Linked DNA regions of Arabidopsis thaliana. The protein of the gene in region 1 interacts with the protein of each later gene in a pairwise test. Each region holds a gene or a part of one and is shown in the gene's direction. Other genes may lie near its edges.

Region 1 (6,944 bases):
TTTCAAAATCTTTAGCACGAAATGCGGCATCTCCGTGCTTCTTGTAATCCATATTCTCTTGCATTTGACCCGTCCACATTTGGAATGAGAACTGCAGCAATATTTTTTTCCTCATGATGAGATATTGAGATGTGTCAAAAGAGATATGTTTCTCAAAAATATAATGTACCTCATTTGTGACCACCACATCATCCTCTCCATACCCGAGTTTCTCGAGTAGTTCGTGCATACCACTTAGATCCACTCTCCAGCATGCTTCTCCGAAAGGGGTCAAGGGCAATGGCTCCTTTGTTGCAGGTTCAGTGTATGATGGAGTCTGTCATTATTAAGTCCCATGTACACATAAGAAAGCCTGCAGAACCCGAAACCTTGGAAGATTTAATGTAGTAATGACTTACAGGGATGTTTTCTTCTTTGACGTTGGGCCATAACTCAGCTCTTTTCTCAAGTCTTGAAAGAGCTGACATAAGAAACTTTATGCTTGGCCTCTCGTCTGGTTCAGGGCGCAAACAGCGGGAAGCTAGATGGATAAGTTCTGTTCTATCCTCATCAGAGAATTGACCATCCAGAGCTGAATCCATTAGCACCAAATAGTTTTTACCACGGAACAGATCAAGTGCCTGAAATGACAGATAAGCTAAAAATCAATGAAACTGCTAAAGATACATTATGTATATACACATTTTGCTTTGTGAGAAGAAAGTTACATGGTTTGGTGGAATATGTCTGCCGCTCATAAGATCCAGTAACAAGGTTCCGAAGCTAAATGTGACACTCTCCGGTATCACAGTACCTAACAATAAAAGTAAAAGAAAAACATCTTTGAGATTTCAGCTGATGAAGTTTTCTCTCAAGAAAATTAAACATAAAACACATACCTAGACGTAAATATTCAGGAGGAGCAAATGCCAAGTTGGTACTATAGCTCTTTCCCTCTCGGCTACACTTCATGAGACCAAAACAAGACAGCCTAGGATTCCCAACCTGTTCCATCACTTTTATAAATAACTTATGATAACATCAAACCGCGTATGAAGTTTCTTACCTTGTCAAACAATATTCTGTAGGTGTTAAGATCGTGATACAAATCTATTCCCCAATCATTACAGTACTCCAAGGCTGTTGCAGTATGTAACGCAACTCTCAACCTCATTTCCCACTTCATTGGTCTTTTCTCCCCTGAAAAACCATTTTAGAGTAAAAACAACTTAGACACAATAATGAAACTCTAAAGTAAAGTTTAAGGCCAAAAGAGATCAAGAACTTGAAATGTTTGAGTCTCACAGTGAAAGAGATGCTTAGCAAGTGTTTCATTAGGCATGTACTCAGCAACAAGCAACCTCTCGTGACCTTCTGAGCAACAACCGATCAAATTGGCCATATGCTCACTCCTACATCTCCCTACAGCTTGTGCTTCCTCCTGAATAACAAATATGCCATATTCAAGAAATTTTCCTCTGCAACAGATCAAGCATAGAACCGAATTGAATCTTTACTAAGTCAAACAGACTTGAAATTTGCCTCCTCTGCAACAAATCAGAATCCAGAACATTGCAACATTCAAGAGAAGTATCACGGAGTTAGTAACCAATAAAGTCAAATCAGATGAATAAGCGATCACTAGTCAAATCTTATACAAAACCAAACAGAGAAGAATCAATAAGTATTGATGGGTAAAGGACACGAACGATGAATTCTAAAGAATCAGGCCATGAAAGCCGTTGAAACCGCTTGACGGCGATCTTTCTTCCGTCGTTGAGCTGGCCTTTGTAGACGATGTTAGGAACCCTCTCGTTGTGCTCCGACACGATGTTGTCGGCGGAGAATCCGTCAGTTGCGACTCTCAACTGTTCCAAGCTGAACTCCAGGAAATTAGGACAAGTACTTCCTTCATCTTCTTCTTTATTATCTGCAGCCAAAACTATTAGGTTAGTTCTCTCGATCATCGTCTTCTTCAGAATCTAATTAACGCATAGGAGGAGTGGCTGGCGAATTCGTTGGATTTTACCTAGATCGTCGATGACGGTGATGGTGGATGTTATCGACGGAGAAGACGATCGACGCCAACGTTTGAAACAAATGCAGCCCATCGCCGGCGACAGTAGTTTCTCCGGTGGAGAAAAACTTTTCAAGTGCTTGGTTAAAAACTCCCGCCTGCAGGGAGAAAATAAATTATTATTTTTTTCTTTTTTGCCTAGCGAATATTGTTGGAAAGTTTTACGGAGAAAGTGGTAAAATAGACCCAAAAATATCATTTATTTATATATCACATAATTAAATAGTTGATGACCAATATATACTTTTTTTTTTTTTGAAAAGATCAACCTTTATACTATTATAAGGATAAAATGTCGACATGATCTATGTATTAATTTAAAGAAAATATTGTTTGCTTGTTCCATTTAAATTACTCGGTATTAGATTAATTTTGAGCATAAACATTACAGGTTTTTATTTTGGTAAATAATCATTAGACTGTTGAGTTTGGTCTTTACTTTAGCCTCAATTTTAAAGTCTATATTCAATGGATTTTGCTTACATACATTTCATTCACGTTTAAACCGAAATTAAAATATCTCATTTAAGTTGTAACCAAAAAAAAAAAAAACAGAAAAATTCTCATTAAAATTAATTTTTGCTAGTTACCGCAGCTTTTCGAGACTGGGTGTGTAATATCCATCACACTAACCTTTTTTTTTTTAATCCATCCATACGTTTAACTACATTTAAGCAAATATCGCTATCAAATCGTTTTGGTATATTTCGCTCATTACTGGCAAAATTCACTCTACAAAAAAAGTCTAGTTTGTAATGGGACGCTCGTTTTTAGGTGACTTATATAAAAATAAATAAATAGATTAAAAAACAAATAAAATCAGTATAGGCCTAAATAAAAGTTAGCTTACGGACCATTTATGATGAAACTTGGGCCCTAATGCAAAGCCCATTAATTTTATCTTTGGAGTCTGAAGTCTCTCCTCTCTGTGCTTTCACATAATCACATTGCATGATTGATCAAATACTCGATTTTCCGTGAAATCTCTTTGAATATTTCGATTCCTTGTTACCATGGCGCTTCATGGGTCTGGAGTTTTTTGTAAAGTAAGCTATAATTCTTCTCTTTGAGATTTACTTCCTTGATTCTTCAGCTCTAATCTATACTTAAATGTTTATCATACGTTTCTCGTAAGTAATCTCGAAATTTAGTCGATTTTCAATAAGAGCCCATTGATATTGGATGATTTATGGTTCATATACAGAGTTCTAATCTTGTCTGGTGTGAGAATTCTTACGGATTAGTAGGTATTGTACTAAGATTAAACCCTAGAAGAAATTCGATCAGAAAGTGTTTGAATTTCAACACTGAGATGTTCAATATCCGAATTTGTTGCTACTCCACTTGATGCAAATGGTTATGTGATTCTATTGTTGTGCTAATATGGCCTTGAATCGTTTGCTCCCTGATAGGTTTCAAACATGGTAGAGATCACTTCTCCGTTTGGTGGTTCCATGAGGCTGCTTCACTTGCCTAAATCTTATCCGATTCACTGCAACATGGTTTCAGCTAGCAATACATTTGGGTCAGCTCATCTCAAGCTGCAAAACAAAGAACCGTGTGAGTCTACTTGATTTTAGTTCGAGCATCTTATCTAGTAGAAGATCTGGTTTTGGATAAGACCGGTTTCTTTAGACTTGGTTCTGATTAGTGTTCTGGTAACATTTGAAGCAGGCTCCCGTTTAAGGCCTTGTCGAGTCAAACGCGAAGAAAATAACCAAACTGCGGATGTTGAAAGCATTTCAATGGATGAGAACACGTTGAAGCAAGATCTCGAGACTGCGGTCCAGGAAGAGAATTATGTGGAGGCAGCTAAAATCCGTGATAAACTAAAAGAGCTTCAAGAAGACAACAAAGCCTCTGTTTTATCAGCCAATTCTCGGTTCTACCAATCTTTCAGAAACGGGGATTTAGCTGCGATGCAATCACTATGGTCAAAATCAGGAAACCCGTGCTGTGTACATCCAGGGGCCAAAGGCATAACTGGTTATGATTACGTGATGGAAAGCTGGGAGCTTGTGTGGATGAACTATGAGTTTCCGTTACTGATTGAGCTGAAAGATGTCGAGGTTCATGTCCGAGGAGAAGTAGGTTATGTAACGTGTATGGAGTTTGTGAAGACGAAAGGGAGTAGTAGTTGGGGAGCTCAGTTTGTGTCGAATGTGTTTGAACGGATCGATGGACAATGGTTTATATGCATTCACCATGCTTCTCCTGTTGATATTTGATCAAAGAATCGAAGAAACGATACACATTTTCAAAACGTTTTATTTTTATATGCGTTTGGAGGTTGCGGTGGGATACATTGGTGGTTTGCTTAAGGGTGATGAAGGACTGTTTTTTATTTCTGAGGTTGGCGATTGGGAATGAAAACGCCACACAAACGAGAAGAGGCATAAGTTGTGACGTTTGTACTAGAAGAGGCACAAAGGATCATTTTATTATAACCAGAGCCTTGTAGATCTGGCAAATCATGTAGACAATGAAAAATGAGAAGAAAAATAAACTCTTTTTATTAGAACCAAGACCTCATGAATCTTGGTCACTCACAAAGTAAAACATAGGAAAAACACATTGAAACAGAAATAGCTTAAAGCTCATCCTTCTTGAGCGCGGATGGACGAACACCTTGACTGAGGAAATCCTTGTAATACTTGCCGGATTCTTTCTCGTAACGTGTGAGGTTATTTTTGAAATCAACGTAGTAGAGTCCAAATCTGTTTTTGTAACCATCTTGCCACTCGAAGTTATCCAACAATGACCATACAAAGTATCCTGTAACATTCACTTTGTCGATGCTGCAGATATTACACAAATGTTTTTATTAGATTCTTCACTACAATTGTTAGTATATCAGATGAAAAGGAAATAGGACATACCAAACAGCTTCTTGCATACTCAAAAGATGCCTCTGAAGATAATATTTCCTGTTATGATCAGCGGTACCAACAGCAACAGAATCTGAGGCCCCTAGTTCTTCTCCATATCCTAAAGAAGAACATCAACATCAATATATTTAGTTCTAAGATAAAATCAACCAAATAATAGTTGACAGTAACAATAGAATCTCTAGTTACCGTTTTCCATGATCATAATTTCCGGATTTGCGTATTTGTCCTTAATGTACTTCAACAGACTTCTAAAACCTCTCGAGTAAACGTTCAATGCAGCGGTCAAAGGCTGAAAATAAAACAGAGGTGAGAATGTTGCATCATAGACAAATGTAGCACATAAAAATTTCAGATTGCTATTAAATTTATACCTTGCTACCAATGGCGTAATTTTGCGCATTCTTAGCTGAAAAGAAGAGATAGGTTTCGATTAGTACCAAAAACAAACATTTTCCCTTTGATTTGTTGCCATTGGTTTTCTTGGTTCGGTTTCAAGTAAGGGCAAAACAAACTTACACTCCCATGTAATAAGAGAATCTTGCATCCATCTTGGTTTTGAAGGATCAGGTTTCTCCAAATGGTTTGAAAACACTGAAGTATAGTAGTTGAGCCCAACGAAATCGGTAGAAGCTTTCAGTTTTGCTTTCTGCTCAGTTGTAAATTTAGGCAATCTATGTCCAACAATGTCTTTCATGATCTGTGGATAATCTCCAAATGTAGTTGTGTCTAGATGCCTACAAAAACCATCAAAATATCGTCATATAAAATTTCAAGATATTTAGTATAGTACTAATTAATTAGGGATGTTATAACTTATACTTACCATCCCAAAATAAAGTCAAGTGCACGGTCGATGGACGCACCGTCTTGTGAATCAGCAAGGTCATGTGCTTCGAACCAAGCAGGACTATGTGCAATTCCGATCTTCCCACCTTTACACTATGGTCATAATTTAACATAATACAAAACAAACTATTTTCAGATCCGAAAGATGATAGATAACTAATTATGATTTATATATGTGATGTACCTTTTCGCATTTCCGGTAAGCTTCAACTGCTTCTGCGTGAGAGATAAGGAGATTGTGAGTGACAAGGTAAGCCTCGTATCCTGATCGTCCGTCTTGGCATTTAGCATTGACGTAAGAAGAGCAACGACCAGGTGCCTTTTTGCCTACGTCATAGCCAGCGTGCGAGAAAACCCATGGCTCATTGAAAGTGATCCAATGTTTCACTTTTCCACCGTATTCTTGGAAAACAAAATCTGCATACTCTCGGAAATCCTTCCTACAATATTGCAAAAAATTGTTGAATATACCATTTATATTCGCATATCAAAGAAAACAAAAAGTGATTGGGGTTCGTTTTCCAACAGAAAAACTTACACAATCCTTTCGCTTAAAAAGCCGCCATATTCATCTTCTAAATCTTGTGGAGTGTCCCAGTGAAAAACAGTAACGAATGGAGTTATACCTAATTACAGAAAAAAATAAAAAATTAGAGAAGTTTAATACGTAAGAGATTATAAATGTTTTTTTTTTCGTTTTTAAGTGATTAATATATGTAACCATTTTTTATGAGCTCGTCGATGAGGTCGTGGTAGAATTGCACACCAGCTTGACTCACTCCTTTCTCCTTTCTCCCATCTGATAAAATTATTGTTTTGTTTCATTAATATAGCAATCATCGTAAATACACCAAATTCGATTGACACTAAGTAGTGATTAATAAATAACTAGATTTATTTGTATATCGATCAATCCTTATATATATTTACTCACGAGGAAATATTCTTGGCCATGCGATAGACATTCTAAAGGCGTCTGTGTTTAGATTCTTCATTAGTTGGATATCTTCCTGCAAACATTTTTCAGATGAGAATTTTTTTATCAACATCTAGTCTAAATGAATAATCAATAAACTATTAAGATATGCATATAATATGATAAATAATTTCTTCAATCTTTATTAATATATACCTTATAACGATGGAAGAAA
Region 2 (8,718 bases), 2.5 Mb from region 1:
AAGACAAAATTGTGATTCTTTTCCATTTGGATGTTTACATAACATAGATTAACACTTCACATTTCCTGAGAGGCCATGTAACTTAACCACATACAGACTAGGACTAGTGCTTATGAGAAATAGCCAGTAATTTTCCTTTCTTTTCTAACAAAATTTCCTTTGCATCTCCCTTTGTGCAGTTTGCAGCAAAGATATGCTTGCTGACATCCTTTAGAGACACTTGTTTCATTGAAATTATACCTCAATACCAAGCACCTAAGGGTGGTGAGACTACAAAAAAAAAGTTTCCTTTCACTTTCGCATATCGCTTTTTGATATGAAGTGACATCTGACAAATACAGTTTTACAAGTTGTGACTCTTTATGTTTGCTATTGTGCAGTGTTATGGTTAAGTTTCTGGTCAGAGGTGCATTATAACTCTTTATACGATATTCAAGGTTTGTTTTGTCCTTTGGAAATGTAACGAAATGGTGGCTTTGTGCTTGATGACACTGATTATGATCTTCCTTTTTGAGTGTAGCTGCTCCAGTTCAGCATAAGCCAAAGAGAAAACATTGGTTGTTCTAGAAGGCACGCCACCATACATGTATTATATTAAGACCCTTCAACTATTTTTCAGTCAGTTTGTGATAAGTCTACCGTCTCATACGCGAAAACTCTTCCTTTACACCTCTGTATACTACTTACGAACTCGCTTGAGCTGTAACATTTTAAAGCCGAATATGATATAGTCGGACCGAGACAAAGAAAATATGACAGTTTCCATAACCTTAGTGGAGAATCTCTTGAATTTGATGGGCCCTTTTTAAAGCTTATCAGAAGCAATAAGGGAAGTTTTTGGTTGGTATGAAACCTGGATTTCCATGAATTATCCAGTCCAAAATCATATTATCCATATAAGATTCAGTTTTGTCCTTTTGTCCTTCGAAATTTCTTCTTGTGCATTTGAAAGATGAACTGTTTATCTCCCGCAGACCATGTCGTTATACGAACTACAACACTGTCTACTTTCATGTTAGTATCATGATTCATGAGAGTTTTGGATGGACTACTTCAAAGTCCAATGTACGTTGGGACTGGCTACATCTTCCGCCGAGAGCAACAGAGAGCATCATTGCTAGTTTGGAATAAGAAAGGTCGAGGCTATCTCTAAGGAAACCAAAAGCTAGCTATGATATTGAAGAAAGATGACATCTCTTTGCCTATGAATGGAGAGAATACAACAAAGAATATAATGTGATGAAGATATCTAATCTTTGCTTCTCTTCTCTCAAAGAAATTTCGGTTAAAAGTGAAGCATAAAAGTGAGATTAGTGGCACTAAAGAAGGATGAAATTAGCAATTTAGGGATGAAGAAACCATATCCTATTATCCTTAAATCGGACGAACACAAAAATACGGTTGAAGACATAAGTTTCAATGTCCAAAGCCATCGCCAAAAAGATAAATTTTTGAACATTATGAGCGCAAGTCTTGAGAATGAAATGGTAACAATTCTTAAAAGTAAAGATAAACACTAAAAGCACAATGGCCTCAAAAGTAGAAGAAGAACAAAAAAGAACATTAAGATCTTCAAGGTTCAACTGCAATACGGCCAGCAACCTGGTCCAAATCCCTTTGGCCACTGGAAGTGATCCTTCTTCCTCTGAAAGAAGAACAAAAGTGATACTAGTATTAGCATAAAAACATTTTTAAAGAGAAACACCTCTAACGTAGTAGTAGTAGTAGTAGTAGTAGTAGTAATGTTACCCTTTGGTGTCGAGCTCAACAATGTTCATTGTCTCCAGCTGTTGGAGGATGTGACGGGCAATACCACCACTGCTTTTGCAAAAGTGAGGTGGGCGACTACCGTTCCTCTTGCTTCCACCATAGATTCTACGGAAAGCACCAACACCAAGTCCTCCCCTCAGGTAAACCTTCCTTGCCATAGATGCTGCACAAGAAGTCATTTTGCTAATTGAAAACTTTATAAACGCATAGAGATAATAAGAGACAAACTAGGATGAAAGAGAACTAACCAGCTCTGATGTAGTACCAATCAGGATCATATGGTGCAAGCTCCTTCAACTTTCCGGTCTTCACAATGTCTGTCCATGTGGGAAGCTCGATCTGAAACAAACAATTATGGTCTCGTGAAAACCAAAACAATTGTAAAAAGTGGAGCTTGACATTCAAGCTATTGTAATTGCTAGTGTAAATTAATTCAACAGACGTAACAAAGCAAATCACAATATTAATCCCAAGCATTTGAATCTTAAGCTGTCTATTAACAAATACTAAGAGTAACACTTGTGATTCAATAAATATTAGCAACATATACAAAATTTCAATACATTCAACAGACATTACACAATTCAAAGTATTATAGAGAAATGCCAACAATCAACAGAAATATCTATGAACTAATGGAAATCATTGCAATTTGAGCTTAATCCATCTTTATTCGAGTACATACAAATAAAGCTTGGAACATTTCTACTCAAACAAAAAAGAAGAGACTTTATCCACTAACCTTGCCAGATCGCTTGAGATGAGAAGCATAAGCCTTGACGAAGTCATGAGGCGAGACGTCTTTCACAGTTTTACCAGTTGCCATGGCTCAAGTTATCAAAAGACTAATCACTGATCTTCGTCTGGGATTTTGCCCAACGCAGCTGAATCTCTCTCCGCAAAGACTAGGGTTTTTATTCTCCAATAACAAAACTTATATATACGGCCACGATATTTCGATTAGGGTTTTCTCCCCATATCCGGGTCAAAAAATCCAACCCGTTCTCAGCCCACACTAATGGGCCTAATTCTTCATACGGCCTTACTATCTAACCAGTATGAATAATGTTCTTTGATACGATAATGCGCCTACTACGGCCTTATTATATCAGTTGACTAGTATTATGTCCTAAACGACACCGTTCTTAATTAGTAACATTAAATGACGTCGTTTTATAATCGCTTAACCACTGGCTATTAGTTCGCATCTCAAGTCGTCTCTGCCATTTTTGGCTTTTTAATCAAACCCTAGAGAGATTGAGAGAGCGAAGAGAAGCCATCATCAGCCATGGCGATGAAGAATCTACTGTCCCTAGCTCGCCGATCTCAGAGGCGTTTATTCCTCACTCAAGCCACACGATCTTCCTCTTCGTTTTCAGCTATCGATTCGGTGCCGGCTTCCGCATCTCCGACGGCTCTATCTCCACCGCCGCCGCATCTTATGCCATACGACCACGCGGCTGAGATTATAAAAAATAAGATCAAGAAGCTCGAGAATCCTGATAAGAGGTTCCTTAAATACGCATCTCCACATCCGATCCTCGCTTCCCACAATCACATCTTGTCAGCTCCGGAGACTCGTGTCACTACCTTGCCCAATGGTCTACGAGTCGCTACTGAGTCAAATCTCTCGGCTAAGACCGCCACCGTTGGAGTCTGGATCGACGCTGGATCTCGGTTTGAGTCCGATGAGACCAACGGAACGGCTCATTTTTTGGAGCATATGATATTCAAAGGCACGGATAGGCGTACAGTGAGAGCGTTGGAGGAAGAGATCGAAGATATTGGTGGTCACCTGAACGCGTATACATCGAGGGAACAGACCACTTATTATGCTAAGGTTTTGGATTCCAATGTGAACCAGGCTTTGGATGTCTTGGCTGATATCCTACAGAATTCTAAGTTCGAGGAACAGAGAATTAACCGCGAACGAGATGTCATCCTCAGGGAAATGCAAGAGGTATGTATTTGTTATCTCTGTACTTAAAAAACTAAACTTTTTGTTCTGTCCTCGATTTATCTTTCGTTTTTTTTTAGTGAGGTGGTACTATGGACCGTAGTTTGTGTTTTTTTAGATCAATACCCTTAGTTTCAGTTTCCCGTGTGCCTGCCTAAAAATGAAAACTTTAGTATGTTCTTAAGTTATCTTCCCTTTTTTTAAGGTTGTATTGGCATAAGCACATGTTCTATAGAGAGATGTTATTGTGTTTATATAAACCATTGCTCTAAAAATGAAAACTTTGTTCTGTTTTTGGATTATCTCTCGCATGTTTTGGTTTTATTGGCTTAGTCATATGTTGGTCGTATTGTTGTTGGGAAATGTGCATGAAGGGAGATACTAGAGCGCTTGGTACTCTGCTCTACGTGTTGGTTAGAGTTATTTGTTTCTTTAATCAGTTAAAGATAGAATACACATTAAGCTTTAGTTTTTTGATAATTGGTTTGGTCGTAGGTGGAGGGACAAACCGATGAAGTGGTTCTTGACCATTTACATGCCACTGCATTCCAATACACACCCCTTGGAAGAACTATTTTGGGACCTGCTCAGAACGTCAAATCGATCACCAGAGAGGATCTACAGAACTACATTAAGACTCACTACACTGCTTCCAGGATGGTATAGATTTTGGTTACTTCTTATCATTTCCTACAATCACTTATTGAATTTTTTAGGATTCTTATCTTGGTTCATCCAAAACATTTTCAGGTGATTGCTGCTGCAGGAGCTGTTAAGCATGAGGAAGTTGTTGAGCAAGTGAAGAAGCTATTTACCAAGTTGTCGTCTGATCCAACAACTACTTCTCAACTGGTTGCCAATGAACCTGCTAGTTTTACTGGTTCTGAGGTAAGGACACAACCATATGATTTTGTTATATGCAATGTTCCATCTTTCTAAATTCTTTAGTCCGTGAAATTCTTCTCAGGTCCGAATGATTGATGACGACCTACCCCTTGCACAATTTGCTGTTGCCTTTGAGGGAGCATCTTGGACTGATCCAGATTCCGTTGCTCTTATGGTTATGCAAACTATGTTGGGTTCGTGGAACAAAAATGTTGGTGGTGGAAAACACGTGGGGTGAGTTTACTCTCTGGCTAATATTTCTAATGATGGATTTAATGAAAAGCTATTTCGCAATGTGTTGATGAACATTATGGTTCTATGTGCAGTTCTGACCTGACCCAGAGGGTTGCCATTAATGAAATAGCAGAAAGCATAATGGCATTCAACACTAACTACAAGGATACTGGACTGTTCGGCGTTTATGCAGTTGCCAAGGTCAACCCAGAACTCCATAGCTATCTTAGTTTCATCTCTTTCTTGTATTTGTCAATATTAGCAGTTTCATCTCATGAATGCCTCGTATTATATCTCTTTTAACATCTTGTAAGGTACTTTTTTCAGGCCGATTGCTTGGATGATTTATCATATGCCATTATGTATGAGGTAACCAAGCTGGCCTACCGAGTTTCAGACGCTGATGTGACACGTGCACGAAATCAGGTAAACGCCCAACTGTTCTTTCTCTCTTTCCCAAGATTCAGCTTTAAGCTAGTTACAAATGTGATCTGTTTAAAGTTTTTTTTTTCTTTTCCTCCTGTTTCTTCGAACTCCTTACTTATTTGTAGATAGATTTTAAATGCCAACTGATTTTAAATTTCTCTGCAGCTGAAATCATCATTGTTACTTCACATGGATGGAACCAGCCCAATTGCTGAAGATATTGGTCGTCAGGTATGCGATGAATCATTTAAGCATCTTAATTTAGAACTTATAAGTTTATAAATGCATTGGTCAAAGATAACAAACCTTGACTTTCCTTATAGTTGGTGTTTATCTTCAAAATCATTCTAATAAAACGCCTGGATTTTTGTTCTAAATGCAGCTGCTGACCTATGGGCGTAGAATCCCAACCGCTGAACTCTTTGCTAGGATCGATGCTGTTGATGCCAGCACGGTAAAACGTGTTGCCAACAAATATATCTATGACAAAGTAAGTTCTATTTCTCTCTCCCTCTTGCTCTCTCTATCCTCCAAGGATTAGACTGCTAAACAAGAGTACAAACGTCAAGAGTGATTAAGGTGATTTTTGGGATTATGTGCAGGACATTGCAATCTCAGCTATTGGTCCAATCCAAGATTTGCCAGACTACAACAAATTCAGACGCAGAACCTACTGGAACCGGTACTAAGGCTCTGAAATAAAGGTCACTGAATCGCAAGGTTCGCCCACGGGGAGATTCCGTAGGCGGAGAGAGCAGAACGAGGTGATGATGGATTCATTATTTTTGAGTTTTTCTTACTGTATCTTCATAATTTACCATCATCGCTGGTAAAATAAGTGTACCATTTACTCTTTGTCCTCTACTGGAAAAATGCTAGAGATCCTCTGTGTGTGTTTTTTTTGTTCTCTTCATAATTTTCCCATACACATACTAATAAGTTCTTTGATGTTTGGTTGAAAACTTGAATTGGATACATTTCATTTCTTCTTGTGAAACTCTATCAATTCACTTGTGATTTGATCCAGTTGACAAATTTATTAAGATTCTCACAAGATATTCCATCTTTTGCAACACTTTTCATCACAATCTCTTTAACCTTCATAGCTCGTTCTTCATACTCTCCACCGTCTCTCATGATCTCATCGATCTTCTTCTTAACCTCTAACCTCGGAACCACTCCTCGTGCGTCTCTTTCAAGTCCTAATCCAATCTTCCACACATCGCATATATATGCTTTGTTGATAAATTGGTCTGCAAAATAAGGGATGCATAGAAATGGTATGCCATTTTGGGCTCCTTCCAGAGTTGAATTCCATCCACAATGGCTCACAAAACACCCAATGGCTCCAGAAGAAAGGACCTCCCGTTGTGGAGCCCATCTCACCACTTTGACTCGATCCGACCCAAGTTTGATTGGTTGTTGATCACCAGTGACCCACAAAACTGGCCTGGTGAATGGATCAACATAACTTATTACATAATAGACACGCATAGAGTAAGTAGGGTAAACCGGAACACACAAACCCGGTTATGTCCAAATCATTACCTCTTGGTAAGCTCTAGACCAATTGCTAGCTCTTCTAACTGAGGGTTGCCCATGACCCCAAAACTCCCAAAGGCAACATATATAACCGAACCGGGAATCTGCCGGTCCAACCAATCTAGACAATCCCGGTCATGAGGTAAAAAGCTTCCTAGTGACGTGGATCCCTCTTCAAGACTATGAGCCCAACCAATGGGCCCAATTGGTACTATATTCGGGCCCAATCCAAATGCTGCAGTTTCAAGTTCATGGACAGAGTTACACAACAACCAATCCGTTGACTCGATCGAGTTATTGTTTTGAAGCATAAGTTGGAATATGTTTTTCTGAGATTCTTTGTTCTTCAGACAAACCCACACAAACTTGTCTGTTTCCATCTTTGGCATCCCGGGAGATAGTTGAATTGTCTTATTTACTCTCACAGTCCCTACATAAAGAAACAATAGCTATATAACGCATCTTTTTCAAAATTCTTCTACCAATGAATCATCAAATAAAATAAAACATGACCATTTTCCAAAAACATCACTTAATATGATACTATTAAATTTTGAAACAAAAGGTTATATTTGTTCTTACCATCAGAATCTATGAGACCATCATCGATAAGTTTTTGAATACTAAATCCAAGAACCATAGACGCAGCTGCAGCAGGACAAAACGCGGTGCGTCTGATCCCAAACTTAGCTGCAACTTCAATTGCCCATCCCAAGCTCTGATCCGCTACAACGCAGCTAATGATCGTACCACCGCTAGTTTCTGCCATCATCCTCTCGATCAATTCCTCTACTTTTTTAGGCATAAAACGCAAAACAGACTCCGACAACTTCCCTGGAATGTTCCTCTCTTCTGGTGAATCTTCTAAACCGTCAGGGATTGAAACAAGATTGATCTGATCCCCAACATAATCTTCATGAGGTGAATTGGGTAAGGAACTGATGATGCGGTTATGGTTAAACTCGGTGTTTATGAATGTAATTTGGATTCCTTGTTTCGCAAGGTAACGTGAGAAACTTATTAGAGGAAGAACATGACCTTGTGCAGGGTAAGGTATGACCACAACATGTGGCCTTCCCATTCTTTTATTTGAGTTATTATCCATATGTATTTTGAGTTATTGTCTATATATACATAAAAATTCATTCATTTATAGGAAAATTTACAAGATTAAGACGGAATGACTCGACAACTAATTCTAATTGATTTTGTCGTTTTTCTTTAGGAATCAAGACAAGTTTGATCCCAAGTTTGACTTGTGTATAACAAGAGAGCAAATGAGCTTAGTTAATGACACACCAAACTAGCATTTTCTCATGTGAATATGGGAAACAAATTGATGAAGGCCTTCAGGACTTAGGAGAATGTAAACGTAAAACAATTATAGGCTAAATAATTAAATACTTGCTGTCATTAATAGACTAGATTTAATTAAATACCATCTCATAACCCAAACTTTACATTTTCATTTTTCTCGGGCATGATTTCAAATGTTACAATCTCTCTCTTGACTTCAATTTTTTTAAGCCTTTGGAAGTGGCTTGCCTCTCAAGAAATACTTAAAAAGCTCAAAAGCAGCACGTGGCTTGAACAATGGCACCTCGTGACCTGCTCCTCTAACCGTCACGAACGTTAGTCCTTCATACACTTCCGTCCATCCTCCAACCTAAATCCACAATTTCGGTTCAAATCGATTTCTTTGTCAAACCAGAGATAACCAAACAAGATTCGGGTTTTCTTTACACATACCTGTTTCTTGACATACCAAGGATACCAAGGAAGTTTGGTACTCAAACTAAGTCTTGCTAGTGAGTATCTAGTAGCTGTCACTGGTACAACTGAATCGACGTCACCACTGAACCAAAAAGTTATCACGGGTTATAACAGTCAGTCATAAATTTTGG
Region 3 (7,412 bases), on another chromosome or scaffold:
TCTTGATGAGTTAAAAATCATTGAATTGCTTAGTTAGTGCTTTGATGAATACTCACGCAAAAGCAATGTGATTTACCAAGATATTCCTGTCTAGTAAAAGCACAATATCAATCTGTCAACAATTTTTAATGAATATTAATTGGTTAATTTCTACGATATACTCGGAAATCCGGATACTCTTCTCTAGCTAGTGAAACAAAATAGTTATTATCTATAAGGAAATAGCTCTTAAATCATGAAAATTTTCTAAAAACCTCCAACACTGAGCTTATGCAAAGAACCTTTTTAGTGATCACATATTAAAAAAGTGGAAAGAGACCAGTATGTGTTCATCATCAATTCATCCTTAGAGAACATTAGGTTATATAGTAAAAGTGAAAACCCAAAGGAAACAGTAAGTAAGAAGTTGATCACGTTCGTGGTCAATTTAAAATGAAGGAAGAGGGTCATTTCTCACAATCATTAGTCATTTCTCACAACGCTAAGCTTATCCGAGATGATCTTTGTAGATAATACTTTATTTTGTTGTCGTTGTTGTAAATTTATACTCCTACTAAAGTCATATGTTTGTTTTTCTTAGAAGGTGGAGAAAATGCAAGTGGGCGATACTCCCAACTGTTAAATCAGCGTAAGATTTAGGTGATATGATTTGATGGAGGTACGTACCACGTACACCGTACAAATGGAAATTAGATAATGTTGGTCAAGGTAGGGAGAGATAATTTTAAAATTTAGAGGAGACAAATAGTCCACGATTATTTATTTTCTAATTTTCCACAAGTAAAAGTACTTTCTAATGTGATTAAAAATGTTCGGTCTAAAACATTTACATTTATTATGAAGGTATTTTTGACCAAACATATAACTTTTTTCTCTTTCAAATACACCAGTATAGCTAATAATATCACATAATTTTGCATAGATATCTACAAACATTAATTTGCTTGTATGATATTGACTTAGTAGCTATTCTTCATATAGTAAACGTAAATATATTTTTTTGGTGAGAATCATATATATAATATCTTTGTTTTCTATGTAACTTGTTTTTTTTTTTTTTTTGGTAAAAAATGTAACTTGGTTTTTCTTTACTTTCTTTGGTTTCTCATATCAAATCAGAGATGTTTACTGTTTTTGTTAAGTAATGTTACTCTAATTAGTGAAAATAGTGTTGAAACGGTAACTCTGAAATCAGAAAGGTATTTTGCAGATCATCTTTGGTTGTATAAACTGCAAATTAGGTTTGAAATCATCTTCTTGACCAAATATTTCGGTAACAAGAAGTCAAGAACTATAATGAGAAAATCAAAAAGCATCTTTCTTTAAGCAATAAACAAATAAATTGACAACAATAATTCCAAATTAATTTATTATTCCTCAGTTAAAATTCAGAAATCTGAATATACAAATTGAAAATAGCCAAGAGAAATATAAATAAGAATCTCTCGACCAGAATCAAAAATATCTAAATTAAAAACTGAGGGCTCCTCTCTCCAAAAAAACTATCTCCTTCATCAAATCTTCATCATTCTGGGACGACGACACTGGCGACAACCAAAAACAATATCAAACCCTAATTTTGCCATCTCCTTCCCAAAAACAAAGTCAAAAATCATTAAAAAAAATAGCAACGAAATTAAATTAAAACTTTCAAAATTAAATCTCTAACCAAAGTTTCAATCACATTCCGTTTGCAAATTTCATTAGCACACAGATTTTTCAGCAATCCCAGGAAGTAACGGACGAGATTCAACGTTGTTCTTCGCCAATCCAACATGACTACACCTCCGGAGATCCTCAAGCGTCGCCGCCGGAGGATTACCTCGTCCAGATGATGATGACGACTCACACCGAGTCACAATCGCAATAATATCCTCAAACAACGATTCATCACAAGGAATCGCTAACGGACCAACGTTAGCGAATCCATACTCTTCCTCAGCCTCAGCTAGAAGCCGTCGGAAAATCGGATGGTTCAAATGCTTAGCACGGACAACGTATCTCCGACGATTCTCACCGACGGAAACAGCAACGTGACCAGGAGGTACATCGGAAACAGGATCGTTGTTGCTAGATCCGATGTGAGCTTTTTTCTGCCATTGTTTAAGCATCTGACGGATCCGAACAACGCTTCCGATCTTATTGTTCTTCCCCATTGATATCGAACAATTGCTTCTTGTGGATTGCTTTTGCGTTTTTTGGCTCGCTTTTCCCCAGAAAATGAAGGGAAAGTTGGAGAGCAAAAAAAAAAAAAAAAAAAAAAGGTTAGAGAAGAGACATTTTTGCTTTAGGCGTTGCTTTCACCAAATTTTGGAATAATACGGCAAGCAGGGGAATATTGAAGGGAGCGTTACGGTATTTAAAGGTTAATCATTTAGGTTTCATTTTGCCCCTCTAACGTTTGCTAAATTACGATTTTACTCTTCTCTATTTATGGTTTTTTGATTTTTTTTCTCTTTTTTTTTCCTTCTTTATCTTATAAATAAAAGATTCATAGCTCTGTTTTTGTTTTCATTCTTTTTAACAAATTTTTTTCAGAAACAAAATTGGTCAACTTTTCATAATTGGTTTGTGTGTATTTTTTTTGGTAAGAATATTGAATTGATGCATATATCAATTTTTTTGTTTTTAATATATAATATCTTACTCAACACATAAAAGAAAATTAATAAATACTCAGATATCTTCTTCTTTATTTGATTTTCCTTAAGAATTTGAAAGAGCAGGCTTTTTACAAAGCCTCAAAGAAAAGCCCATATGGCTTTGGTTTGATGAATTAAGAATTGCTTTTCTCTAATTGTGTGCGCCCGACCCGCTTTGTATCAAGCCGACCCGTTTCGTTTTAAAAATGCATTTTGAGCCACAGAAAAGGGGACCCACCACGAAAAAAATAGAGATTCTCTTCTAAAATATCATCAAAGTACAAAGAATTTAAAGCCGAAAGAAAAATTGTTTAAAAAGATTCGCAGAAAAAAAAAAAAAAAGGGTGAGGCGGTCACTTCACTGACGACGTGTGCTATACATACACAGTCAAATACAACCCTTTCCCCAAATTGACCCCAAAACCAAAAACAAATCAGAAGAAAATTAAAATAAACCTAAAAGAGCAAATTTTTATTCGCATTGCTCTCAAAAATCATCCATGGCGGCCACCTCTAGCATCTCTTCTTCTCTATCTCTCAATGCTAAACCCAACAAGCTCTCTAACAACAACAACAACAATAAGCCTCACCGTTTCCTCCGTAATCCCTTCCTTAACCCCTCCTCCTCCTCTTTCTCTCCTCTTCCGGCTTCTATCTCCTCTTCTTCTTCTTCTCCTTCGTTTCCGCTCAGAGTTTCAAACCCTCTTACCCTGTTGGCGGCAGACAACGATGATTATGACGAGAAGCCTCGGGAAGAGTGTGGAGTTGTCGGAATCTACGGTGACTCAGAAGCTTCACGACTCTGTTACTTAGCTCTCCATGCGCTTCAGCATCGAGGTCAAGAAGGTGCAGGTATTGTTACCGTTAGTAAAGATAAGGTTCTTCAGACCATTACAGGTGTTGGTTTGGTCTCTGAGGTTTTCAGTGAATCCAAACTCGATCAATTACCAGGAGACATAGCCATTGGTCATGTCAGGTACTCGACTGCTGGTTCTTCTATGCTCAAGAACGTTCAGCCGTTTGTTGCTGGTTATCGATTTGGCTCTGTTGGTGTTGCTCACAATGGCAATTTAGTGAATTACACGAAATTGAGAGCTGATTTAGAGGAAAATGGTTCGATTTTCAATACTAGCTCTGATACTGAGGTTGTGCTTCATTTGATTGCCATTTCTAAAGCTAGACCCTTTTTCATGAGAATTGTTGATGCTTGTGAGAAGCTTCAAGGTGCTTATTCGATGGTGTTTGTGACTGAGGATAAGCTTGTTGCTGTTCGTGACCCACATGGGTTTAGGCCTTTAGTTATGGGTAGGAGAAGTAATGGAGCTGTTGTGTTTGCTTCTGAGACTTGTGCTCTTGATTTGATTGAAGCTACTTATGAGAGAGAGGTTTATCCTGGTGAGGTTTTAGTTGTGGATAAAGATGGTGTCAAATGTCAGTGTTTGATGCCTCATCCTGAGCCAAAGCAATGCATTTTCGAACATATTTACTTCTCGTTGCCTAATTCGATTGTCTTTGGTCGGTCTGTGTATGAGTCTAGGCATGTCTTTGGTGAGATTTTAGCTACTGAGTCACCTGTTGATTGTGATGTGGTGATCGCTGTGCCTGACTCGGGTGTTGTGGCTGCTCTTGGTTACGCGGCTAAAGCTGGTGTAGCGTTTCAGCAAGGTTTGATTAGGTCTCATTATGTTGGAAGGACTTTCATTGAGCCGTCTCAGAAAATCAGAGATTTTGGAGTGAAGCTGAAGCTATCGCCAGTCCGAGGAGTTTTAGAAGGGAAAAGAGTTGTTGTTGTTGATGATTCGATTGTTAGAGGAACAACTTCGTCCAAGATTGTGCGTTTATTGAGAGAAGCGGGTGCGAAAGAGGTTCACATGAGGATCGCGAGTCCTCCTATTATTGCATCTTGTTACTACGGAGTGGACACGCCTAGCTCAAATGAGTTGATATCGAATAGGATGAGTGTTGATGAAATCAGGGATTACATCGGATGTGATTCCCTTGCGTTTTTGTCGTTTGAGACGTTAAAGAAACATTTGGGGGAAGATTCTAGAAGCTTCTGCTATGCATGCTTCACGGGGGACTATCCGGTGAAGCCTACAGAGGATAAGGTGAAGCGAGGAGGAGATTTTATCGATGATGGTCTCGTTGGAGGAATCCACAACATTGAAGGAGGTTGGGTACGGTAGATAGCAGATATTCAAGTTCTGCATTATGATGATCAATTTTGGGTACTAATGGAGTAAGATGATGACGATATCTTGTTGAATTTTGTGTTCCATTTGACCTTAATTGCTGGCACATTTTTACTATTTTATTGAGTCTGGGATGGATTAAGATTTAAGGGTTGTTCTTGTCTGAATCTTTGAAAGGTTTTGTTTACTTTTGTCTCGTTAAGAATTCAAATCTTCTCTCTGTTTTCATTGCACTTTACTTAATCAGAAAATGTAATGGGTGATGTGGTATATGAGAGACATCTCTCTATTTACTAAAATTTGATTCGGTTATCGATTTGGTTATTTCGGTTGAATATGGTTTGAACTATTCCACGTCACCGTAGATGGTGCCAAATGACAACTATACCCTCAGAACAATGGATAAATTTGTTCTGTTTCGTTACTTCCTCAAATCCAAACACACAAAACAGAGGAATTTACGAGATTAAGGAACCATTGTGACGATGCCTAAGTTTCTACACACCCATCAATCTCACTTCTTCTTCCTCCATCATCAGACATTGTTGCTTGGATATTGAGAAGCTAGTCTTAGGTAGGTAGGTTCCTATATGAGTTTGAGTAAACGACGGTGATACATTTGAGTGTTGTTCAGCTAAACAAGCTTTTGAATGGTGAGCTTGTCTGTTTCAAATATGAGATACACGAAAGTTAGAGTAAGCCGACTAGATAAGCCATTGACATTTTGACCATGTCATTACAAACGGAAGCAGAGCAACTGGTTTATGGGGGCTTGTGCTTGTGGCGAGTTCTACGAAATTTTTGCTTGGAAAGGTAGTGATACGTTTAGGAGATGTGTGTGTTGTGTTGTGAATTTGCTTGTAGTTTGAGTAAGATTGTGCTAGTGGCATATTTTTCATTCTGTTTCGAGCATTATGTTAATACATGACTAGGTTTGACTTTTATAGATTTGTGTTACTTTACAAGGCTTGTTTTGTTGATGTTCCATCTCTTTCAACAAACACTCTAAATTGTGATTTGTGAACATCAAATAAATTACGTAGGTAGTAAGAAACATATTTGTTCTTGTAACGGTAACTTAATTTGACTTTTTGTTACATTGATCAATTTCCTTTTCTTCGCAAAACATAGAAAAAAGAGACAATTTCCTTTTTTCAATGGAGCGTTTGCTTATAAATACTCCAACTCTCGTATCTTCTTCTTCGTTGAGAAATCAAAATACCATCTTTTATCTTCTTCTTCTTCTTCTTCTTCTTTCTTTTTCATACCTGCAATTTCCCTGAGAGACTGATCACTGATGTGCTTTCGTTCTCTCGTGACAACAATCTTCAATCAATCGAGTTCACTTTTTAGTTCGTGACTCCCTAATTTCACACGATCAAAGATCTCGCCACCGAAACGCTTTCACCGAAGGATTCTTTCAACGGCGGCGAAGGAGATGATTACACGACGGAGAAGGATGCGCGGAAGACTATGGCCAAGAGAGGGATAGTGAAATTAACGACCAGTTGGCAGATTCGTAGGCTTTAAAACTACAATTCGACTGCGGAGGAAGAAGACAAATTTGTGTTTCATCGATCGATCGATAATCATCACCAGCGAGAACCAAGGTTTGCGCTTTCCTAATTTTCTTTTTCTTTAATAAAAGATTTTAAATTTTATAAGATTTTTTTTCTTGTGTTTCTTTTTTTAGATTTTTTTTTTGTTTTGATACTAAATCTATGTAAAAAATGTATATGGAAAACTAACCGGATTTTGGAACCAGGTTCGGTCGTTAGCGATTTCAAAAATTCAACTTGTTTTCATATCTTTATATAGATTTGGTATCGAAGGTTTTTGTTCGGACTTTTAAGAGTTTTTTTTTTTTTTTTTTTTTGTTTTGTTTGATACTAAATTTACATAAAGATATATGAAACTAACCGGATTTTGGATCCAGCTTCGGTCGTTATCGATTCCAAACATTCAACTTGTTTTCATATCATTTTTATATAGATTTGGTATCGAAGTTTTTTATTCTGATTTTTAAAAAAATTTATGACTTTTTTTTTTGTTTTGATACTAAATTTACGTCAAGAAATGTATATGGAAAACTAACCGGATTTTGGATCCAGCATCGGTTGTTAGCGATTCCAAACATTCAACTTGTTTTCATATCATCTTTATATAGATTTGGTATCGAAGTTTTTTGTTGGAATTTTAAAAAGTTTTTTTTTGTTTTTTTTTTGTTTCGTTTGATACTAAATTTACATAAAATATATGAAACTAACCGGATTTTTGATCCAGCTTCGGTCGTTAGCGATTCCAAATATTCAACTTGTTTTCATATCATCTTTATATAGATTTGGTATCGAAGTTTTTTGTTGGGATTTTTTAAAAAAATTTTTGTTCTTTTTTTGTTTTGTTTGATACTAAATTTACATAAAGATATATGAAACTAACCGGATTTTGGATCCAGCTTCGGTTGTTAGCGATTCCAAACATTCAACTTGTTTTCATATCATTTTTAGATAACTTTGGTATCAAAGTTTTTTATTCGGACTTTTAAAGTTTTTTCTGATTTATTGTTTTGTTTTGTTTG
Region 4 (8,061 bases), 6.8 Mb from region 1:
TCCCATAAACTGAGATCAAGCTAGCAATAGCGAGAATCAAAATCAATAGAAGCGAGATTTTATTCTTCTGAGGAGAAACCCTAGGATCATCACCGAAGAAAGGAAACAAAGAGTGAAACCAGATCGGACGGTCTCGATCTCTAGAAGGATGACGTGGGCGACCATCTTCGTCGTCTCCGCCGTTAGGAGAGTGATCGTGTACATGAGGCGATGAAGAATCCTCATCTCCGGCGGCACGTAACGGAGAAGAAGAAGATCGGCTACCGAGAGAGCTCGAGTGCCGTAACTCTGCCATTGCTCGCCTCGGACTAAAAGTCGCCAGCTTAATTTCTATATCCTCTCTTCCTTTTCTTCCTCTTCACTTTCTCTGTAGATAGATACAGTGCTTCTTCAGCTCTACTATGTGGACGCTGCCATTTGAGAGAGAGCTTGGAGATTCGAACACTCCACAGAGAGAGAGAGAAATTAAAGAAGCTTTTTTTTTTTGAAAGGCTTGAATGTTCTTCTTTAAAGTCAATACTCTCTGAATCAAACAGAAGATTAGATTTAAGGATATTTACAAAAACATCCCTATATCTCATAAAACTTACATAACCACCCCTATATTAGTAAATTCTCTGGTTTTTATCTCATTTCCTCCATCGCCTCTTTTTTAACCTAGACATTCTCCATCATCACTCAAATTGGCTCTTTGATTCTCTCCGGCGAGATTCCGACCGGTAAGTCGAATTCAGATCCTATCACTGTCTCTCGTCAATCTCATTTACGTTTTCAGAAACATACTTTTTCAGAAAACAAGTAAAAGAGATGAACACGATAGCGAAGCGAGTTACGGGGTTGGTGACTCGTCCGAGTCTAAACCAGCAGTTGCAGCAAGAGCGAGGGATAAGAGTGAAGGTGTTCTCCAATGATTTAGACAAGGCACTGACGATTTTGCAGAAGAAGATGCAATCGAGTGGAATGGAGAGGCTGATCAAAGGGACTCAGACTCATCACATTAAGAATTCGGAGAAGAAGGTTCTCGCTAGGAAGAATCTTGAACGCAGAATCAAATCCATTGACTTTGCTCGAAAACTCCAATCAATCCTCATCAAGAAAGTCAGGTAATGTTTTCTGATTTTTCTCAAAAGCTTCACATTTTTTAGGGTTTTAATGGTGTTGTTTAGTTTAGTAAGATCTTGCGTATTTCTTATTGTTATTCTTTGCAGAGGTTTATGAGAGCTGAGGTGAAGCAAGAGTGCTGCTATGTTGATCAGTACTAGTATCTGTGTGTGATATAACACAGTTTTACATTTTGAACTTTTGATGAGTTGAATCAATGTGGAATTGGAATTTTGGATTTGATTAGTTGTTTACTCTATGGCTTCTCTTTCGTAAGTTTTCAATGATCTTGAGAAAGAACATCAGATCTTAGGAGTACATGTATTGAAAGTTGTTTCAGGGCAAGTGCGTTGCTTCTCCTGCACTCTGTATGACTGTGTTCTGTGGGTCTCTGTGCTTGAATTGTGTTTCTTGTTCCGGCCATGATTACTCTGAGATTGTTCTGCTTTCTTCGCGTGTAAAGCGTAGGTTAGCTCTTTCCAGGCGTTTACACTTTCATTTTATGTATATTCATGTTACTATATACCATGCCATGCCAAAGAATGGGGATAAGAGATATAGGAAGAACAATTGCACCGAAGATCGTGGAAAATACCTTTTGTATGGGTTTAGTTTTCAGTTTGCTTCCAGCTTTTTTACTAGTATCTGTTTGGTCAGGCTCGATTGGTAGTTGTCTTTGTCAACGTTTGCAGTAACCGGCATTGCAGAGTTGGTTTCATGTTTGATGCTGCAGAAATTGAGCAGAGAACAGAGTATCTACCTGCAGAAGCAACGTGTTTCGCATCAGATTTGCGCTAACTAATCTGCGGCCTTCTTGATCTATGGGAGACATATCTTAACATGTTCATAGTTTACTGACATATTCGACAAGTTTTCGTAAGTTGCTCTGAGAATCAACATCTTTCCCCTGGAGTGAGCTGAAGTAGAAAGATTGACATATTCATGACTGTTACTGTAAGTCCTTAACCCTGTCTCTCCTAAAATCGAGATCTTTTTATTTGGGTTTTAGATAAATTGGACCGAGTAATTACAATTTTCTTAAAAAAACTTTTGAATGAGAAAAAGATACAGAGAATGTTTTTATACTTTTTCATGAGATTAGAAACTGATTTTAATTTTAGTGCAAGGAATCTACAACAAAGATTACTTGCTTCGTGCTATCACTTTCCTTCTTTATTTTGTTTTCTACAACAAAGAATCCTTACTTGAACTTGTCACCAAGTTATTCTCTCCCTCTCTCTATCTCATTTAGAAACTTAAAACAGTTCAAAATCTCTCTGTTCTCATTCTTTCATCTCAAGTCTTACTTAACTTAGTTTCCTTTGATGCTTTTTAGCTTCTTCATCTAAATGTCTCATCATCATCACCATGAAACTAACCCTCATTTTGCGCGAATTCCATCGCAGAATCCACATCTCAAAAGCGGTGGTGCTTCTACCTCACAAACATCTTCGAACCAACCACACATCCCGCCCATTCCGCACCCAAAAAAATCGCACCACAAAACCACGCAACCTCACCCAGTAGCTCCACCAGGAATCCTAATCAAGACTCGTGGTCGCCACCGTGAAAATCCAATCCAAGAACCGAAACATTCTGTAATACCTGTACCATTAAGCCCAGAGGAGAGACTTCCACCACGAAAAACTCAAAACTCATCGAAAAGACCATTGCTATTAAGCCCTGAAGATAATCAACAACAACGACCTCCACCACCACAAGCACCACAACGCAACGGAGGGGGTTATGGATCAACATTACCTCCAATACCCAAACCAAGTCCATGGAGAACCGCTCCAACACCATCCCCGCATCACCGCCGTGGCCCACGGTTACCACCACCCTCAAGAGAGACAAACGCAATGACATGGTCAGCTGCATTTTGCTGTGCAATATTCTGGGTCATTCTTATTCTCGGCGGTCTTATCATCCTAATCGTTTACCTCGTCTACCGTCCTCGCTCACCTTACGTCGACATCTCAGCTGCTAACCTAAACGCTGCTTATCTCGACATGGGTTTTCTTCTAAACGGTGATCTAACCATTTTAGCAAACGTCACAAACCCAAGCAAGAAAAGTAGTGTGGAGTTTAGCTATGTGACATTCGAGCTTTACTATTACAACACACTCATAGCAACTCAATACATTGAACCTTTCAAGGTTCCTAAGAAAACGTCAATGTTTGCGAATGTTCATCTTGTGAGCAGTCAGGTCCAGCTTCAGGCAACGCAGAGCCGGGAGCTGCAGCGTCAGATTGAAACAGGTCCGGTTTTGTTGAACCTGAGAGGAATGTTTCATGCACGTTCGCATATAGGACCATTGTTTAGGTACTCTTATAAGTTGCATACTCATTGCAGCGTTTCATTGAATGGTCCTCCTTTAGGAGCTATGCGAGCTAGAAGATGCAATACCAAACGCTAGCGATTTTGCAATTGCGTTTGCTCATTTTTTTTCTTTTACCTTTTTTTGCCACTGTTAGAAATAATTAATCTTCTGTATTTATTGGTATTACAAGTCTACAAGAATCGTTAATTGTTTAATCATTTTTTAATTGCGTCGTTAGTTTTTGTAAACTAGAATGTTCCAAACTTAAGAGGCTGTTTTAAGACTTTTAACTTTATAAATTTCACACGGAAAGAGAAGAATACTATCTAATATTTAAGTTTAAGGAGGTGTTTATTAATTTTGAATGCACATAGGATTTGGAATGCCTTGTTGATTTTAAAACCAAACATTAACATTAAATTTTTTAACTTTTAGATATGAACCAAAAATCTTGATATGGTGCTATATGAGGCAATTTCTCTTGTATGTTTAACCATAAACATTTTAAAATCTGTTAAAGTCCAATGTAAAATCCATAAAAATTTGATTAAAATAACACTTTATTCCAACTAATAAAATAAAATAATAAACGAATAATACCTGATAAATTTGATCCAAATATTTTGACTTGTCTTACTAAATTTATTTGAATAACAAATGATTAATAAAAAGTTATATACCTAATATTCATATAACCAAGGAAATTAAAAAAAAAAAAAAAGAAGAAAAGGCCAATAATGGCCCATGAAGCCCAACATAATGAACACTGTTCTGTCTTTAAACTTAAGCGGTATGACCCGAAATGATTCAACCCGACCCGATCGCCCATATCTTGCCCCGTTCGCATTCGGTTTGCCCAGAGCTCAAGAAACATCCCTCCATAATTTGCTTCTCTTTTCTCCAATTCTCACACATTCTTCTGCTTCGTTAATTTTCTACTCGATTTCGCTCTTCAGGTATGTCTCAGGCCCCTAATTGTCGTTACTTTGACTTTACAATGAAGTATTAGGGTTTATGGTTTATACACACACGTACAAAAGTAATCTCGTGCTAGATCCGATTTGAATTGTGAAAGGAAGCTCTTTTTGTTAATACCCTGATTTGGGTACCTCTCAAGCTTCATGATTTTGCATAATTTTATTGAATAATTGTGGGTATTCGATGATTCTGTAGAAATTTGACAATGAAGCTTGACACTAGTGGATTGGAGACAACTATGCCTGTGATTGGCTTTGGATCAAACAGTGAGATGCTTGATGGGTTTTCGTCTGCACCTTCGTTTGATCTTCCTCGTACCACTGATGTGAGTTTTAGTTACGAAATTAGAGTTCTTTCGGATTCCAATATACTTTGATTTTGCTTTTATTTGATTGTGATATGTTGCTTTTGTTTGTTGTTGGTTTTTTAGTTTGATGGGTTTCAGAAAAAAGCTGTGGAGATGGTGAAGCCTGCAAAGGGTACAACTACACTTGCGTTTATCTTTAAGGAAGGTGTTATGGTAGCTGCTGATTCTCGAGCTAGCATGGGAGGATATATCTGTATGTTTCTCTTTTGTTATGTTTATTTCAGATTTCTGTTTGTGTTTTAGTTGTGAGCTCTCTAAAGGATCCTAAAAATGGAGAATGAGTTAGATTCTTGTTATAGAAATTTCTAATCTTTGTTGTGTTGGCCAGTGATACTGTACAGTAAAAGAAAGGAGAAATTTCTGTGATTGCTGATGTTTTGTTTGTGTTTTTCCATTCAGCGTCGCAATCTGTGAAGAAGATTATTGAAATTAATCCTTATATGCTTGGTACAATGGCTGGTGGTGCTGCTGATTGTCAATTCTGGCACAGAAATCTGGGAATTAAGGTACCCTAACGTTAGTTTTTGTTAGCTTTCTGAATTGATGATTGGGTCTATCAGTTATCTTCCTTGCTGTGGCAATCCGGTTACTTCTTACCTTCCCTTTGTTCATAACTTCATATAGCTAATGTATTGATATCCGAAAGCTGTTGAGTCATTTGTTAGAGACTTAAAAACGTTTTGTATCCGTCTGTTTCCTGGAATAAGAATAGTCTTTATTATCTGTTTGGTGACCTAAGAACGTGTGTCTCTTTCAATTTTAGTAATGTATTTTTCTGCGTGGTGTGGTGGCTTTAGCTTCTCAGTACTGTGAACTAAACATTTATATATCATTATGCATCAATCTTTTTGTTTTGAGTTGTTGTATTCAAGGGCATACAAATGGTTTCGTTGATTTCTTGTATCCAAAATCTAGTCCCAGTTTTATCCTAATAGTTTGATTGCTAACTTGTATACCAAATCTGGATTATGTTGAAACTATGACCCTGATAGAGAGTGTTTTATTTGTGTATCATAGTGCCGTCTACATGAGCTGGCAAACAAAAGGAGAATCTCTGTTTCAGGAGCTTCAAAGCTTCTTGCTAACATGCTCTATTCATATCGTGGAATGGGACTTTCTGTTGGCACAATGATTGCTGGATGGGATGAAACAGTCAGTACCCTAAACTTTATATCCTAACTGTTATTTCCTTCTCGGTCTGTAGTTTCACTCACCAAAGCGAAAGTCGAGATGCTAAAATTGTAATCTTTTTTGAAATAGGGCCCTGGATTGTACTATGTTGACAACGAAGGAGGACGGCTTAAGGGAGACAGATTCTCTGTCGGTTCAGGTTCACCATACGCTTATGGTGTTCTGGACAGCGGGTACGTATCTATTTCAAGATATCATCATTGCCCTACTTCTCTTTTAGTCAAAGCCCAAACCAAAACTAGATCTTGCTTTACTATTATAACCACTCAATCTTATGGTTCTTTTTTTGTTAACAGATACAAATTCGATATGTCGGTTGAAGAAGCCTCAGAGTTAGCAAGGAGATCCATCTACCATGCTACATTCCGTGATGGAGCTAGTGGTGGAGTTGCTAGCGGTAAAGATCAATCCTTACTTCTTCTGCCAATACATCATCATCTTGTGATCCTTTTCCTTTAAATTTTGTATTAAACTTTCTTAAATCTGTATGATCAGTGTACCACGTTGGGCCGCAAGGATGGACGAAACTCTCTGGAGACGACGTTGGCGAGCTACATTACCATTATTACCCCGTGGCTCCAATCACCGCGGAACATGTGATGGAAGAGGCTGCCGAATAAGTACTGTGATTCTTGTCTATCTTACTAAGAGTTTTATTACATCACTTATGTTTTGTTCATCAATGAACAGAATCATAGATTCAAGTTTCTTTTGTATTGCGAATGATGTAGACGTTAGTTTGGCCACAATGATCACGTTGCATAATAGATAACATAATAGATAACCTGTTTCTTTCTTCTTCTGTTTTTCAATTTGTTGTACAATGTAGATACACACAAGTATCCAAAATATGTCCCTTAATGCTTAACTACTTTTCAAGTGACTGTACAGAAGATAATAAATTATTACTTGTAGAGACCATAAAACTAATTCACTTGATTCATCATACGATACAAGTTACCAATCCAAACCGAATTTTTAGCTGCAATCAAAACCAAGTTTTGTTTGTGAATGTCTTTTGCTTACCACTTTTTTTTTTACAGTGTTGTACTATTTTCCGCGCTTTTTTACTGTTAATATGTTTTTAACCGTTTTAAGTCACATAGGACCCATGAATGGTATAGATTATAAAATACCATGTTCTATGGTGGTAGTTCAAATTTTAGAAAAAAGTAGCTAACTAGAAAACAATATCGTGATGTTTTTTTTTCCAATTATTATTTATCCAACTAAAGGTTTTATGGAAAAACCAAAGAAGAAGAAAATATGATGACATATAGCATCTAGTGATCCATGTGATTCATGTGAATGTCAGAATATCTTGGATTACCTAACCAATTCTATATTCATCATCTTTTTCTTCTGAAATAATGCTTTTAACAATTCAGAATTGTTAATTTTTGTAAACATATAGAGATTAATTAAAACGATCTTGATTTTTTTTATAGAAGCAATTAATCAAGAAGGTATGCTATTGAAAGATAGGCTTCGATTGGTGACTACTTTTTAGGAAAGGAATGGATAGGAACAACATGTTCCTTATTGTTCCTCTTTTCTTTACCATTCAACAGTAATTTTTTTTCCAAATTATAACATGTGGATCGTACACTATTCCTATTTATTCCTTATTTTTTGAGGAATCGAAGAAGAAAATTGTTCCTTCCGAAATTTGATGAGGAACAAACAGAAAAACAAATTAAACATTTATTAATTAAAACTTAAAAATTAAATTTATGATAACGTAGTAAACATAATTACTTATTGAATGTCAATGCATATACGTAGGATGAAAAATATTAAAGCCAAACATGATTACTTATATACATCAATTATAGTATGTGTGGAAGGAAAGGCACTGTCAAATTATGCTTGAACTCATTATTACAGAGCTAAAATCAAATGACCACTCACTATAATTACCATATTAGTTTCACGTAGTTTTGTAGTTCTTTTTATAAATTTTTTCAATTTGTTTAATATTTTATTTAGAAAAATAATTTATTTATTTTTTAATTTTTGTTATTATTTTGTATGTTTTGGTTATCATTTACAATAATATTTGTTCTATTTTGCCACTACACTCATTCCTCTTTATTTCTA

What was found.
Region 2: the proteins of AT3G09250 (region 1) and MPPBETA interact in a two-hybrid assay, tested with the Arabidopsis thaliana proteins (one large-scale study listed by BioGRID).
Region 3: the proteins of AT3G09250 (region 1) and ASE2 interact in a two-hybrid assay, tested with the Arabidopsis thaliana proteins (one large-scale study listed by BioGRID).
Region 4: the proteins of AT3G09250 (region 1) and AT3G26340 interact in a two-hybrid assay, tested with the Arabidopsis thaliana proteins (one large-scale study listed by BioGRID).

The regions. Positions count from the first base shown.
Region 1 is NC_003074.8:2,836,011-2,842,954, forward strand, and holds AT3G09250 (Nuclear transport factor 2 (NTF2) family protein), read left to right. Parts: upstream 1-2,989; 5' UTR 2,990-3,069; coding exon of another isoform or gene 3,070-3,102; intron 3,103-3,243; exon of another isoform or gene 3,244-3,468; coding exon of another isoform or gene 3,469-3,477; coding exon 3,478-3,616; intron 3,617-3,730; coding exon 3,731-4,244; coding exon of another isoform or gene 4,245-4,284; exon of another isoform or gene 4,285-4,345; coding exon 4,346-4,408; exon of another isoform or gene 4,409-4,550; coding exon 4,551-4,575; 3' UTR 4,576-4,604; downstream 4,605-6,944. Other genes in the region: BSK9 (kinase with tetratricopeptide repeat domain-containing protein), read right to left, coding at 1-91, 170-316, 399-620, 708-793, 879-984, 1,046-1,179, 1,285-1,420, 1,689-1,909 and 1 more; PYK10 (Glycosyl hydrolase superfamily protein), read right to left, coding at 4,647-4,854, 4,936-5,044, 5,134-5,236, 5,319-5,353, 5,464-5,681, 5,771-5,886, 5,978-6,233, 6,332-6,419 and 3 more.
Region 2 is NC_003074.8:362,566-371,283, forward strand, and holds MPPBETA (Insulinase (Peptidase family M16) protein), read left to right. Parts: upstream 1-2,983; 5' UTR 2,984-3,058; coding exon 3,059-3,730; intron 3,731-4,222; coding exon 4,223-4,387; intron 4,388-4,477; coding exon 4,478-4,615; intron 4,616-4,694; coding exon 4,695-4,846; intron 4,847-4,938; coding exon 4,939-5,047; intron 5,048-5,173; coding exon 5,174-5,272; intron 5,273-5,437; coding exon 5,438-5,503; intron 5,504-5,654; coding exon 5,655-5,766; intron 5,767-5,874; coding exon 5,875-5,969; 3' UTR 5,970-6,274; downstream 6,275-8,718. Other genes in the region: AT3G02070 (Cysteine proteinases superfamily protein), read left to right, coding at 180-264, 381-437, 521-567; AT3G02080 (Ribosomal protein S19e family protein), read right to left, coding at 1,573-1,645, 1,750-1,933, 2,019-2,109, 2,513-2,596; AT3G02100 (UDP-Glycosyltransferase superfamily protein), read right to left, coding at 6,275-6,722, 6,821-7,244, 7,397-7,919; scpl25 (serine carboxypeptidase-like 25), read right to left, coding at 8,337-8,480, 8,564-8,669. UniProt on the Arabidopsis thaliana protein: Catalytic subunit of the essential mitochondrial processing protease (MPP), which cleaves the mitochondrial sequence off newly imported precursors proteins. Preferentially, cleaves after an arginine at position P2.
Region 3 is NC_003075.7:16,572,310-16,579,721, reverse strand, and holds ASE2 (GLN phosphoribosyl pyrophosphate amidotransferase 2), read left to right. Parts: upstream 1-2,968; 5' UTR 2,969-3,142; coding exon 3,143-4,828; 3' UTR 4,829-5,178; downstream 5,179-7,412. Other genes in the region: AT4G34750 (SAUR-like auxin-responsive protein family), read right to left, coding at 1,704-2,156. UniProt on the Arabidopsis thaliana protein: Catalyzes the first committed step of 'de novo purine biosynthesis from glutamine. Required for chloroplast biogenesis and cell division.
Region 4 is NC_003074.8:9,649,120-9,657,180, reverse strand, and holds AT3G26340 (N-terminal nucleophile aminohydrolases (Ntn hydrolases) superfamily protein), read left to right. Parts: upstream 1-4,244; 5' UTR 4,245-4,381; intron 4,382-4,598; 5' UTR 4,599-4,608; coding exon 4,609-4,728; intron 4,729-4,833; coding exon 4,834-4,963; intron 4,964-5,169; coding exon 5,170-5,276; intron 5,277-5,787; coding exon 5,788-5,922; intron 5,923-6,030; coding exon 6,031-6,134; intron 6,135-6,257; coding exon 6,258-6,358; intron 6,359-6,456; coding exon 6,457-6,581; 3' UTR 6,582-6,865; downstream 6,866-8,061. Other genes in the region: AT3G26370 (O-fucosyltransferase family protein), read right to left, coding at 1-295; AT3G26360 (Ribosomal protein S21 family protein), read left to right, coding at 808-1,103, 1,209-1,218; AT3G26350 (proline-rich receptor-like kinase), read left to right, coding at 2,451-3,521. UniProt on the Arabidopsis thaliana protein: The proteasome is a multicatalytic proteinase complex which is characterized by its ability to cleave peptides with Arg, Phe, Tyr, Leu, and Glu adjacent to the leaving group at neutral or slightly basic pH.